Linked DNA regions of Rhinolophus ferrumequinum. The protein of the gene in region 1 interacts with the protein of each later gene in a pairwise test. Links are inferred from orthologs where the notes say so. Each region holds a gene or a part of one and is shown on either strand. Other genes may lie near its edges.

Evidence for each region.
Region 2: the proteins of SSC5D (region 1) and SEC23IP interact in binary tests that used the Homo sapiens proteins (3 or more experiments, as listed by UniProt). The two-hybrid records come from large-scale screens. The link is inferred for Rhinolophus ferrumequinum from reciprocal best matches to the Homo sapiens genes SSC5D and SEC23IP.

What each region holds. Positions count from the first base shown.
Region 1 is NC_046298.1:48,596,823-48,603,924, forward strand, and holds the start of SSC5D (soluble scavenger receptor cysteine-rich domain-containing protein SSC5D), read left to right. Parts: upstream 1-3,842; 5' UTR 3,843-3,976; coding exon 3,977-4,001; intron 4,002-4,500; coding exon 4,501-4,527; intron 4,528-4,837; coding exon 4,838-5,146; intron 5,147-5,311; coding exon 5,312-5,431; intron 5,432-5,618; coding exon 5,619-5,732; intron 5,733-6,029; coding exon 6,030-6,338; intron 6,339-7,102. Other genes in the region: NAT14 (probable N-acetyltransferase 14), read left to right, coding at 1,234-1,305, 1,929-2,477.
Region 2 is NC_046299.1:9,622,363-9,629,577, reverse strand, and holds the start of SEC23IP (SEC23-interacting protein), read left to right. Parts: upstream 1-4,040; 5' UTR 4,041-4,133; coding exon 4,134-4,296; intron 4,297-7,215. UniProt on the Homo sapiens protein: Plays a role in the organization of endoplasmic reticulum exit sites. Specifically binds to phosphatidylinositol 3-phosphate (PI(3)P), phosphatidylinositol 4-phosphate (PI(4)P) and phosphatidylinositol 5-phosphate (PI(5)P).

The DNA.
Region 1 (7,102 bases):
GAATCTCCTCTCCTGTGTTTTGTTTTCTTGGGGTGGGGGAGGGCAACGTCATGGCCATAGCAACTGCTTGGGAGCTTGGAGTCTCATCTCTTGCATCCTGGCTCGCAGTTGAGTTGCTTGGGGGCCAGCCACTTCTACGTGGGGCTCTGTTTACTATTAAAAAGGGGATGCAGTGGTCACTAGAGTGGGGAGATGTGGAATTTAGAATCCTGCTCTGCCACCTGTTCACTGTAACTCCACCTCTCCCCTCATTTGAAAAGTCTGTGGTGGGGGGAGGGGAATGCTTGTCCCGAAGGTCACTGAGCCCGGTGGGTTGGGACGGAGGTCCCTGGGGTGAGCCAGTTTGGGAGCTGGTGGGCTCAGGATGCTGAAGCGGCCCCTCCCACGAAGCCCTGGGCACCAATGAGAATTGATTCTCTCCTATCACCGCCCCCACCCGGCACTCAGGTTGCTTAGCAACCAGGGAACCTCGAAAAGCGAGCGTGCGCACCCCCTCAACTGGCCGGTAAGTACAGCTCCCAGCTCCCACCCCGCCAGCGTCTGCTACTCCCGCCGCTGTCGTCTTACGGGTCCCCTTTCTCCATCGCTCTTTCGCTCCCTACCCCACATCCAGCAGAGTCCCTGCGCCCTGCCCTAGCCCCTCCTCAACCCCCTGCCAAGCTTGGCAACAGTTAAGACCGAATGCAGGCACCACACTGCACCGCCTCCAACGTGCGCGGTCTGACGTCACTTCCGCCGGCGACCCCTTTCCTGACCCTGTCCTCCCTCCCCATACCTTGTCAAAGAATCGGAGCCACCGCAGAGGTGTTTGTAGGTTCTTGCTCCAGCAGCGACTGTGGGGCGGGACGCTTGGGTTTGGGGAGCTTGGTCCATTACCTGGCCTTGGGGTGGGGGTTCGATGACCTCCCCCTGTAGAAGCCCCGGAGCCTGGAAGGGGGCCCTGTATAGCCAGGTGTTGGTGTCTGCAAGGTATTTAGGGTAAGATCGCTGAACACCACGGGTTGGGGGAGTGAGACCTCAGGAGACGTTAGGAAGGTGGCTGGGTGAAGGGGGCAGCCTGTCCTGCGTGGGATCTCGCTTGGGGCATCCCAAGCATCCTCACTGTCCTCATCTGATACATGCTGCTGCTGGTCCCCACCCCTGGGGCTCTTGGAGACCAGAGGTGCCCTCCTGACGTTGATCTGCTTGTTTTCACCAGGTGCACGCCTGCTCCCTGGGGGCACGGGGACTGCCATGGCCCCCAGCCACCTTTCAGTGCGGGAGATGAGAGAAGATGAGAAGCCCCTGGTGCTGGAGATGCTGAAGGTGAGTACAGCAGGGGCACCTGGGGGTAGGGGCAGCACGGTGAGCCAGCTTTTCCTTCGAAGCCACTTCTGGCTTGGCCCCTTCTCCCTCTAGTGCCTTCTGCCTACCCCTGCGGTCAGGAGGGTTTTAATGCTGGAGGGCTGTGGGGTCTGTCTCCTCCCCGACACTCCTCAGAGCAGAGCCTGGGTCTCAGCCCTGTACTCATCCTCTGCTCCAGCAACAGAGCATGCCCATTTTCTGGCCGGGGGGCAGTCGCCCATTTTCTGGCCGGGGGGCAGTCGCCCATTTTGGTCTGATCTCAATCTTCCCTGGTGCCTCCCGCACATTCTTCTCCTGAATTGGGTGTCCTCACAGTTCCTAATTCATTCACTCATTCTCTCACTCATTCATTCACTCATTCAAAGCCCAGTGTGCCAGATGTAGTGTTTGCTGGTGCACAGAGCAGATGTGGTCCAGGCCCTGCCTGTCCTTCTACCACAGGCCCAGTCCCTTTTCCTTTGGGAGCCCCCACCCTGAGTCCCTCCTGGGTAGGGTCTTCTCCCTCTCCTTGTTCCTGGTGTTCACGGGGGCCCTCGCTGATGGGAGGCCCAGTCCCCTGCTCTGACTGCGCCTCCTACCCACAGGCTGCTGTGAAGGATACGGAGAACCGAGTGGCCCTCCACGCCCTGACACGGCCGCCTGCGCTGCTGCTCCTGGCGGCCGCCAGCAGCGGCCTGCGCTTCGTGCTGGCCTCCTTTGCCCTGGCCCTCCTCCTGCCTGTGTTCCTGGCTGTGGTGGCCATGAAGCTCGGCCTGCGTGCCCGGTGGGGCTCGCTGCCTCCACCAGGTGGCCTAGGGGGGCCCTGGGTGGCAGTGCGCGGCTCAGGTGATGTGTGTGGGGTCCTGGCCCTGGCCCCAGGCTCTAACTCTGGGGATGGGGCCCGGGTCACTCGCCTCTCTGTCTCCCGCTGGCACCGCCGCCGAGGCGTGGGCAGGCGGCTGCTGGCCTTTGCCGAGTCCCGGGCACGTGCCTGGGCAGGGGGTATGGGGGAGCCCCAGGCCCGCCTCGTGGTCCCAGTGGCTGTGGCGGCTTGGGGCGTGGCAGGGATGCTGGAAGGCTGCGGCTACCAGGCTGAGGGGAGCTGGGGCTGCATGGGCTACACACTGGTAAGGGAGTTCAGCAAGAACCTGTGACTCCAACGTACGCACCTACTGTGTGCGGGCACTTTCACATTCTCCCTGTGCGAATCCCCAGCCTGCCCAGGGCCCAGAAACTGAGGCCTGCAGAGGGAAAGACAGCCTGAGGTCTGAGGTCTGTCTTTCGTGTCTGAATTTCTCAGAGTGGTCAACCTATCTGGCCTCCTGCCTCAGATTCTGTCTGCACTGAGACATCTCCCCAGTCTGTCTCTGCAAAGCCTGCACCGTTTGTGGTACCAGCCTGGGTGACAGAGAGGAGGAAAGGAGTCTGAGCAAGTGTGCCTCCCCAAGGGTTAGGAGTTGGGGCAGGGACACCCCAAACTGGGATGAGGCCCCCACCATGAATGGGGTGGGGTTTGATGCCTGTGCTTGGAGAGGATGAGTCTGGAGCCAGAGGGGATGAGCAGAGCCTCTGCGAGGAGGGTTGTCTCCTAGAGAGGCCCTGCAAGGAGGGGGTGGGCACAGGAAGGCCGGCGGCCCCTCCCTGGGGGAAAGGGACTGCTAAGAAGGGTGGCCAGACCTGTCTGGTGTTTTTATACCCGATTGTTAATAAAGCCTGAAACTGCTCTGCGCCTGGCTTGCTCTCTCTCTGATGCCTTTTCCAGTCTGTCTTGGAATCCCTCCTTCAGTCTGGCTCCTCCTTTCCTGAGTTGACATTAATTGGTGGTGGTGGTGCTGGCTCAGGAGAAAGGGAGGCATGAGCTCACGGCAGCCTCGCTCCTAGCCAGCCCTCTGACTCACGCTCCCCATTACCGAGGTTTTCCGCCTCCCAGCTGCCTGGTGCCCAGAGAGTGAGTGTGTGTGCACATTCAGTCACCTCTAGCACCCAGGCCTTGACCTGAGGTCTGCCCAGTTCCCCACCCCAGTTGCCTCGGGGTTGGGGGACATATAAGTTCAACCACTTCTCCCTCAGATGGGGGGCTTTGCATCCAACTCCACGCTGGGGAACAGAGTCTCCTTTCCCAATCTAGGAAGTCCTTCCTGGTGTCTGGCTGGAAGCCTCTTGCTGCTGAACCTTGATCCCCAGCTGTGCCAGGTCTCAAAGGCCCACAGCTCCTGTGAATCTACCCTCTAGCCCCTACACCCTGGTCCAATCCACATTTTCCTGCTTGGATAAGAGAGGAAGCAGACGGGTGGGTGCCTCGCCCATGTCGTCCCTTCCCTGAAGCCTGCCCTCCGTCCTCTAAGCATCTCTACGCCCCGCATGCCTGGCTGGCCTGTGTGGGTGTTTGCAGTTGGACATCCTCCCTCCAGCCCGCCACCCCCCTCCCCCCCCAGGCCTCAGCCGCTGGCCAGCCCCCTCCCCGCCCCCCTCCTGTCCCCTGCTGCCTCCTCGGCAGCCTTTCTTGCTCCTGGCAAAGCGTCTAGCTCCTGCCTGCTCCTCCCGGGTCCAGGGCGCTTCAGCAGGCGCTTCCCCCCTCCCTCCAGTGGCGGCTGCCTTCTGCCCTCTCCTGATCCTCCCCTCTCACCCCATCTTTGCCCTGGACTCTGCAAACATGAGGGTCTTGGCCTGCCTCCTCGGTGAGTGACCCATTCTCCTTGGGGACTCGGGGGCCTGGGCCCCACCCTCTGACCCCTGAGCTCCTGCAATTGAGGGGCCCATTCTTCCAGGGCCCATTCCTGGTGCTTGGGGACACAGGACATCTGCCCTCCCTACCTGACCGCCCAGGGACCCAGCCTTCTATATGCCAGTCCCACCCTCTTAGGAGGCCCAGCGACCTACTCATCCCCACCACCAGGCTTGACCCTTTGGGGGGGTCACACACAATTTGACCTTTAGCCAGGCCTCTCTCTGGGGGAGCACAAGGGCCTGGTCCCCAGCCCTGACCTGTTGCATCTGGGGTCCTGCCCCTCCACCCTCGAGTCCTGCTTTCTTCCCAGTAGGGGTTTCTGGTTCAGAGGTGCAAGGATGTGTGTGTGTGTGTGAGTGTGTGCGCGTGCGCGCGCTGGGGTCAAGACTGGGGAAGGGACCCCTGGACCTGCCCCTCACTGTGTCCCACCCCTCCAACCTCCCTTCCAGTGGCTCTGATGGGGATCCAGGCTGTTGGTAAGTGTCCCCAAACACTCCTCTGTCTGGCCTCACCCAGCTCCAAGCCCATCCCATTCCCAGCCTCGCCCTCCCCTGGGATCCTGGCCACCTACCATCTGGTGATGACCTCAGGCACCATTCCCCCAGAACTACCGCGGCAGTCAGCCACCCGCTTCCTGCAGGGACCAGGGTCTCTCACCACTACTTTCCTGGACCCCAGGCTTTGGGGTACCCACCAGCAACAGGATACTGGCCTAGTCGCACTCTGGAGGGCTACCCTTTGCCCCAGGGCTTCCAGGATGTCACACCCTTTCCTCCGTTCCCCCAGAGCGGTTGCGGCTGGCCGATGGCCCCCACGGGTGCGCGGGCCGGCTGGAAGTGTGGCACAGTGGGCGCTGGGGGACGGTGTGCGATGACGGATGGGACCTGCGGGACGCCGCAGTCGCCTGCCGGGAGCTGGGCTGCGGGGCGGCACTGGCCGCCCCCGGAGGTGCCTTCTTTGGGGAGGGTGCAGGTCCCGTGTGGCTGAGTGAGCTGGCCTGCCGGGGCGGCGAGGGGCAGCTGGGCCTGTGCCCCCACCGAGGGTGGAAGGCCCACGTCTGTTCCCATGAAGAGGATGCAGGCGTTGTCTGTGCAGGTAAGGACCCCAAATCCTCAGCCCAGTCACTCTGAGGGTCTAGAAGTCCCAACATTCCCTCCAGAGCCAGGGGTCTTCCTCCAGGACCCCAACTTATCACTGCCCAGGGATCCTGGCCCAGCCTCTCCCAGGGCCCACCCTCTGGAGCTCCCCTGCTCTCCGCAGGTCAGCGTGTGGCTAACTCGAGGGACATGGACGGTTCACCTTCGTTCCTGGATGGGGACCCCTGGCAGGGGCTGTCTGGGGAGCTGAGTCCCAGCTCTGAGGAGCCCCCTGTGACACACAGTGAGCCCACCCACCCATGTCCCCTCCTGCTTCAACCGTGGGGGAGAGGGGCCTTCCACATTCATGTTGCCCAGGGGGCAGACAGATGCCCATCTCCTCGCCAACCCCGAGGGTCCTGGCTCAGCCCCCCAGGCAGGAGTAGGGTTGAGCGGCTCCCTCCCACCCTCCTTACTGTCTCTTCTTCCAGCCCCCCGCCCAGCTGGGACCCCCCAGAGCAGCTCCCGGAAGAAAAGCCCCCGGCCTCCCAAGCAGGCCAAGTCCACCAGAGCCCCTGCACTGATGGCTGGAGCCCCACACCACGGTAAGTTCCTTGCAGGCCTCCCCTCTGCAGATCTGGACCAGCTTGGGCCCCCTGCGTGTCCTCCTGAGTCAGGCCTGGTCCCCCACCCCACCCCACCCGGTCAGGGAACCCAAGTGTCTGTTTCGAGCACCCAGGCACCCTGCCCCACTTACATTCTCACTCTCCCTGTAATGGCCAGGCTGGCAGATCTCAGGCCACTGCCCTCTCCAGGCCTCAGTTTCCCTAGATGGAAAACGAGGGGTGTTTAAATCCACTTATCCCGGCTGCTTCACACAAGGCTCCTGTCCATCCCCACAGAGCGGCTGCGCCTGGCCTCGGGCCCCCACGGTTGTGCAGGTCGGCTGGAGGTGTGGCACGGTGGGCGCTGGGGGACGGTGTGTGACGACGGATGGGACCTGCGTGACGCAGCTGTGGCCTGCCGGGAGCTGGGCTGCGGGGGGGCACTGGCTGCCCCAGGAGGGGCCCGATTTGGCCCAGGCTCAGGGCCTGTGTGGATGGATGATGTGGGGTGCGGAGGTGGAGAGCAGGCCCTGAGGGACTGTCCCCGGAGCCCTTGGGGTCGGAGCAACTGTGACCACAGCGAGGACGCAGGGCTGGTCTGCACAGGTGCGTTTCTTCCCTGGGCCTGGATCTGCCCACAGCACAGTGGCATCTGCAGTGTCTCCCTGGGTGTCTGAAGCATAGTGTGCAGAGGAGCACAGAGCTGGGGGCCAGGGACAGTGAGGGGTCCCTCCATGTGCCACAGGGTGGGAAGCACGTGGGGCCCAGTTCCTGGGAGATAAGTTGAGGCTTCAGAGAGGGTTACATTGTCGGGGAGAAGTGAACCCCACTGAGGTGCCCGGGGGAGCTCAATGCCTTAAGATCTTTAATACTTCAGTGCGACCCTGTAGGGGAGGGCCTGTCATTTCCGAGGAGAAGTAAGTGCAGGCATTTCTGGCCTCTCTCTGGCCTGCAGTTCCGCCTCCCTGCATACTGACTGGTAGAGAGATGGATTCCACATTCCCCCAGTGGCATCTCAGCTTTTATTCCAGAAAGACCCAACAGAAATGAACCCTAAAACTGACGAGAGGTCTAGACTAGTGGTTTTCCACGTGGGGTGATGAACAATTATCCCATTCCCCAGGGGACATCTGCAAATCCTGGAGACATTCTTGGTTGTCACAACTGTGGGTGCTCCTCGCATCTGGGGGGTGGAGCAGATGTCCTGGACCAGGCCCAGGGCAGCCTCACAGACAAGGATGTTCCGTCCCAGATGTCAGCATGCAGCTGGGACTGGGGACCCAGGCCAGGAAGCGGGATGGCGGGGCCCAGGGGCAGAGCTCCTGGGCAGCAGGGACACAAGGAGAGGTCAGAGCTGGACTCTTGGCGAG
Region 2 (7,215 bases), on another chromosome or scaffold:
TTGATTAACACCCTGATCTTGTTTCTTTGTTGCCAATCCTCTTATCCCTCTGAAGATATCATTGGTAGACATTTTAATGTTTTTGTCTTCCTGTGTGGGCTGTTTTTTTCTAAGTTATCATTTCCTATTCCTTTTGTGTGTGTCTTGTTTTGCTCTCTTGTTTTGATCTCATGTTAAAGGATCTTCTCAACTGTGATGATCATGTTTAAAGTGTGGAGACTAAGAAGGTGATTGGGAGCTCAGAGCATATAAATGGGCCTTTTTGTGTGTGTGTTTGTGTGAGTTAATTGTTGAAACAGAGTGAAATGCTTGGCCTCTCTGACTCCATCTTGTTCAAGCCTGCTTTATTCCCAGGCCCTTCAGGCTAATAGCTTCTGCTTAGGCTTGCATATAGCCATGCTAATAGAGGAATTCTGCTTGTGACTTGAGTTACACAAAAACAGTCCCTTACCAGAAGGTAGGTGCCTCTCCAGAGGAGATAAGAGAAGGAGGTAAAAAAAAAAAAAAAAAAGATTGTTTATCAAAGATATGCAGGGACCTCATGACTGGACTCACATCAACTAGCACAATCTTCCTTGGTCCCCTGCTGGTGCTCAGATGTCTGCAGTGGTCAGTCACCTCTTGCTTCTCCCATTTCCCCTTCCCTTGACATAAAAGAAACCTGAACTCTGTACTTTCTTACAATGAACTTGAAGTACCACTAGATCTCCTACTTTGTTTGGCGCCTTCTCAATCAATAAATCTTTCCTTACTCCAAACTCGGACGTTTTGCATTTTGGCCTTTTGAAGCGTTGAGTACACGGACTTTGGACCAGAAACGCTGTCAGATAAATCTTTCATAGAAACAGGAATGTATCAAGTGGGTCATCATAGTAGGAAAAAATTTAAAAATGTAAGTTTGTACATGTTGCTTTATTTCCATTCGGGAGCTGGCTTTCCCCACATCAGGCTCAGCAGCTGCACTTGTCCGATGCCCCTCTGCAGATGCAGTCCTGGGCACACCCGGCACAACACATGGGCCAACAGGGGCAGCAACTCTAATTGCAGGAAGTGCATTTGTACTCTTCATTTGCAGGAGCCAGTGCAGGTGCAAGAGCCACCAGTGCAGATGCAAGAGCCACCAATTGGAGCAGAAGCAGTTGGAGTTCATTTCGAGCTGAATGAGGCCGAAAGCCCAAAGCAAGTGGCGAAGAAGTACTTGGGGTAGTAGAAGTTGTGTTCTGGGGCTTGATGATTGTGAGCTTAATCATGGGGTGATCTGGCTGGTCTGTCTTATTGAGAAACCCTGATTTCAGTATCTCCAGATCTTTTGGTCACAAGACCCAAACAAGATTCTTCGAATTTCCTGCCTAGATATTGCAGACCAGGCAGTTAGTGTTCTTGGAGCTGAGTAGAGCAATTGGGCTGGGGTTGTGAGAGTAATTGTTTTATTATTCAGTATGTACATATTTGCTTAATCTTCCTCTTGTTTTACTCTCTCCAGAAGGGAAAAATTACAGTCTTTTTCCTAGAAGGGGGATGGTCAGAAGTCCAGTCACTCAAGCAGGGAAGGGGACCTAACTGCTTCTTAAACAGTTTTAATCGATCCTCCTGATTATAGGACTTCTCTCTTCCCCTTCACTGCCACTGCCAGAGGTGCCTGCGGTTATCAGGTCCTGTAACTTTTGGTGATTGTATGGTGCCAATCAAGTTGCCTTGGAGTTTTCCCATTACTGGTTTTCTAAATCATCTAGTACTTGTCCATTTTTGGGGGGCCTTCCAAAATGTTGCCGTAGTAGCCGCTCCCCTTCTCTTCATCTTTATGAACTTACGCTTAAAAATACCAAATGAACCCATTTGTATTTTCAACAATTTCAGGAGGGAAAACAATGAAGCTACATCTATTCGATCTGACATCTTTCTCCAGAATTACTATTTCTGTTTATTCCTGTCATCACTCTAATTTGAGCCACCATCATTGCTCAGCTGATTCACTGCAGCAGCCTGCCAACTGCTCGTCCTACTTCCAGGCTTGCTCTTTCCTTATCTGTTTTATTACACTGAAGTCAGAGTGGACTTTCTACAGAGCAAATGTTATTATTTCTCCACCCTACTTTGACTCCCTTTTGTTCTTAACTTGTAAGATCCTGCATCATCTGGCCTTGATCCACTTTTTATCTCATCTCCCAACTTTCTCCCTGTTGCTCACTGGGCTCCAGCCATACTCTAACCTATGTTTCTCTTAACACCCAAAGCTGGCATCTCAGGGTATCCCTACACACTGCAACTTTATCTGAAAATGTCTCTTACCACTGCCTCCAACCCCTCCTCCCCAAGCTTTTCCCGTTAATTGCTACTAATTGTCTTTCAGGTATTAACTTTAATTTTTCTTCTTCAGGGAAGCTTTTTGTGTTACTAGGTAGGTCCTCTGTTGATGGTCTGATTGTTGGAATACTTGCTATTGCTCCCCATAGAAGGGTTATACCTCCCTCCCCTGATGGTATCAATATTCCATATAATACACTTTGGGAAATTCTACATTGTAACTTCCATCACACTTTATTATTATGTGTTTAGGTGTCTGTCTTTCTGACAGACAAGGCAATATCCAAGAAGGAAGGGTCCTGTGTCCTTAGATACCATGGTACCCCCACTGTTTAGTATATTGCCTTGCCCACCCGTAGTAATGACAAAGACTCTCCTTGGCCAAACTCTAGTATGGCTTCTAGCAACTTAAGGTCATGTGTCTAGGATGATCCCTACCCCACTTAAAATGCCTGCCTGAGAAAGCTCTACACAGCCAGAATTGACTGTTCCGGCCAAAACCCGGTGATAGGCATAGTCTCCTGAGCCCCTTCTAAAAGCAGTTACTTTAGAAAGTTTGCAATTATAAATACTTTCTCTGCCCCTGAGATCTTCATCTTCTGTCACCCAGAACTATGTTCTCAAGGACCAGAGAGCTGTCTCCTCCCAGCCTGGTGGGTACCTTGCTCTGACTTATACCACTGCCTGTCATAAAGATAAAAGTTTGTTGCTCCTTAAGATAAGTGCCAGTTAACAAACTCAGGTGGCCTAGTCACATGGGGTAACACCCTTGAGTACCTTTGCCTTACAGTCTTTAAAAAGTTTCTCGTCTTTCGTTTTGCTTAGTTCATGTTGTACCCTCTTCCTATTGCAATAATTAGTACTGAACAAAATCTATCCTTAATGCTTTAATTAGTACCTGGCATTATCTGACAGTAAGCACACTAAATAGTTATTGAATTAAGTAATAAACAGGTTCTATATGGGTGTGAACAGCTGTGGGGGGGTGTGTGTGTCATAATTTCAAAACTTCTTTTGAGGTCTCATATCTGCCTCTCCCACTTTGCAAGAAGGTGCTTATCTGTTATTTTTTCTTTCATAATCTCTATATGAAAAATGACAATTAGACCCACATTATCCACAGTGCATTTTGAGACTGAACTAGTCAGATTCTTGTAGACAGATACAGAAAGGTATTTAAAACGTCACATCCCTAAATTTCAATTACCTGGTTTCTCTTTTAAACAATTTTTTTTTTCATTTATGGCTTTAAAGCTTAAAAAGTTTTACCATTTCTTCTCTGGGCCAACGACAAGAGTTCAATTCAGTCCAGAAAGACATGTAGATGCTAGAGTGGGTGAGTTTGTCTAGGCTTTGGCTGCAAGTGGCCCACACTCCTCTGTCTGTGGGCAGCACTCTGCTACCCGCTCCTGCGGGCTTCCGCCAGTCCTCCAAAATCTTGGCCAGGTAAAAGCTCCTGTCCGCACTGTTAGGAAGCCCAGAGCGCCCTCGCAATCCGTGACTTTCAGAGTCCACTCGTTCCTTGATTCAGAACCAGGAGACTTCCTCTCCCACGTTCCTGCCCGAGCCTCCGCCTCCGACTCCGCTTCCAACCGTGCCTGGGAAGCGGCTGCGAGTGTCACGTGCTAGGACTCGGGAGTGAAGCTGGCGCCGCCATGTTAATTTCAGGCGGCGCCAACACGGACTGGGGGAGGGCCGCCGACCAGCGCCCGGAGTTCCGACCCTTGTGCGCAAGTGCGGAAGTGTGCTGGCCCCGAGTGTGACTGGTTTCCGTCCGGCGGTGCCGCTCCGGCTTCCCCGAGACGTGTAACGGACGGTGGGCCGCAACCATGGCTGAGAGGAAACCAAACGGTGGCGGCGGTGCCACCTCCATCTCCTCGTCCGGCACTAATTTACTCTTCTCATCCTCGGCCACGGAGTTCAGCTTCAATGTGCCCTTCATCCCAGTCACCCAAGCCGCCGCTGCCTCGGCCTCCTTGCTGCTGCCCGGAGGTAGTTGGTGGGGCCAGTGTTTGCGGGGAGGCGGGCAGGGGGGCGGGGGGTGACGAGGGTGGGGCTGGAGGTTTTTCTTCTGCCTTGATCCGACCCTCTGGGTAGATTGCTAGAGCTGTCTGTGGCCACGTTTGAGTGGTCTGGGTGCTTTGGGATCTTGGAGGCAGGGGCCAGGATATAAGGCTTGCTCTCCGTTGAAGGACCCCTCTGTTTCGCGTGCTGGACACTGCTGCGCTGACATCCCACAAGTTTTTGTTGAACACTTACTGGTGTGCCAGTACTTGCAGAGAATGCAAATAAATTAGGCAGTGCTCCCTCTTCTAAAACACAGTAGGGGATCTCCTAGGATATAATGGGATCTCTCCTAGGATAGACATGTAATATTTGCAAAGTAGAGGTACATAATGCAATTCTTATCTTTCAAGACGGTGCATTCTCTCCTCTAAGAAGCTGTTCCTTGTTCTCTTAGGTTCCCACTCCTATGTGCACCATAGCTCCTTGTTCATATTTTTGTTATTATAGGACGATTGCTTTTTAATGATAGTGTGGCATAACTCAGAGCATGGTGTTTAGAAGCTGAAACTGTGTTCCAGCCCTGGCCCTGCCAGTGACTTGCTGTGTGACCTCAGGCATGCTACTTTACCTCTCTGTGCTTCAGTTTCCATATATGTGCAGCCTCATAGGGCTGTAATGAGAAGTGAATTAATTTTTGTAAAGCACTAAGTATGGTGCCTTATATAACGGCACAAAGCCGTTATATAAATGTTTATGAAATAAACACATCTGCCTCTCTGTTTTGACTGTGGGCTTCTTGAGGTTGGTAGCTGTGAGTTCTTTACCTTTTTATTTCCAGGATCTTTAGTGTCTGTCTAGCACATAGATGCTCAGTAAATGCTGAATATTTTTCCAATGAATAATTTATTCTTGCTTGTAGGACTAAGGAAAGTTTCACAGAGAAGTGAAGAAAGGCAAACTGGAGGCCATTGTACGCGCAGATTTCCTTTCCCTTCTGTTATGTGTTTTGGTGTGTACACCTGACATGTACACACATATTTGTTTATCTTATCCCACTAGAATATAAGCTCCATGAGAGCAGGAACTTATATCTAGAACAGTGCCTGGTCTGCTGTAGACCAGTTCTTCCGTATATCCTTGTTGAATTGAAAGGATGAAGTCAGGAATATGGATGTCTCATTTTGACAGTGGGCATTGCCATTTTTAGTGAAGGACTACCATGGCTGGAGCAGAGTGCTGTGGGAGGTTGCAGGAGTAAATGAGGTCACACATGGAGCTTTCCTGTCGCCTTCTGCTTCACAAATGTGTGGTTCATGCCCATCGTCCTTGCTATACAGCATTTGGTGTGTGTGTGCCACTGTCAATCAGTGCTAATAAGCATTTTCATTGTTGACTACAGGATAAGTACACCTTCCTTATTTTAATTTTATTTTTTTACTTTTATTGAGGAATATTGGGGACCTGTGTGTTTCTCCAGGGCCCATCAGCTCCAAGTCGTTGTCCTTCAATCTAGTTGCGGAGGGCGCAGCTCACGTGGGAATCGAATCAGCAACCCTGTTGTTTACAGCTCACGCTCTAACCAACTGCGCCATCAGGCCACCCGCAGGAGATAGCTTATTTTTTAACGAGAAAATTAATCATGTTAGAGCTAAAATTCTGTGACAATTATTTTTCCACGTCTATAAAAGATTAGTCCATTTGAAACCCATTCAGAGAATTTCCAGAGACAAAAGAAGAACCTGTCTCACTGGAAGCAATAGTTAGTCATTTCAGGGAAGGAGACACATAGGAAGCAGTTTCATTCATTCATCTGACATGGGTTGGGCGGCTTGTGTTTGCCAGGCCCTATTCCCGAAGAGCAGAGCGTTGCCCTCACTGACTGCTCAGTATGCGTACACACACTACTCAACTGTGCAAGCAGTTGTGATGCAGGTTTATAAAGCTGGGGGCAGGGATTGATAGGCTGCTGTGAAAGCTGTGGGTTTCAGGCTGGTGACCTGGGAGAGGACGTCGCTCTGGCCTTCAGGGCCTCGCGGAGAAGGTGATTCTTGAGCTCAGTGTTGAAGGGTACACAGAAATTAGGGTGTCTTGAGCTAGGCATATGTAAAAGTCTGAGGTCTGAGAAAACCTACAGATTTGGTGGTAGGTGCTCACATTCCCCCTTCCCTCCCCTCCCCTCCCTTCTCCTCTCCTCTCCCCTTCTCTCTCTGTCTCTCCCCCTTCTCCCCTCCCTCAGTAGATCATTGTGACTAGAGTGTGTGCAGGGGAGTGGCTTGAGTGGTCAGCTCACCAAGGGCCTCAGATAACGTACTGAGAAGTTTGTAGTTATCCTCTGGCGGGTGGGGGAGGCTTTGAAGGATTTTAAACAAGGCAGTGAAATTCGAAGTGTGTTTCGGAAAGACCCGGGTTGTCTGAGATTGCACTGGAGTAAACGCCTACGGTCGCCAGAGCAGTCAGTCTGGATGCCATTGTGAGTCAGCCAGGAGTGAATGCCACTCTAGCCCTCGTCAGCCACACTGGGTGTGAAGAGCAGGGACCAAATGTGAGATTTTTTGACAATAAAATTGTTGGGACTTAGTGTCTCACTGGAGGCCAGACTATCTCGGCTCTGTCAGCACAGCGTCCCCCTCTGCTCATTCAGTTTTAGCCCCAAGACCTAGCTCTGTGCCTGGCATATGATGGATACTGTGTATGTATTTCTTTTTTTGGGTATTTTATTGTGTACATATTTCTTGAAGGAAGATCTGAGTGATTAAATGAAGGGTATGAGAAAAAGGGAGGAGTCTGAGAAGTGAGGTTTCTGGTTGGAGCGGATGGACGGATGTTGTAAACATCTGTTGAGATAACTCAGGTGTGGTAAAAGGAGCACGTGGAGGGGACAGAGAAGATGGTAAGTTCCCTTAC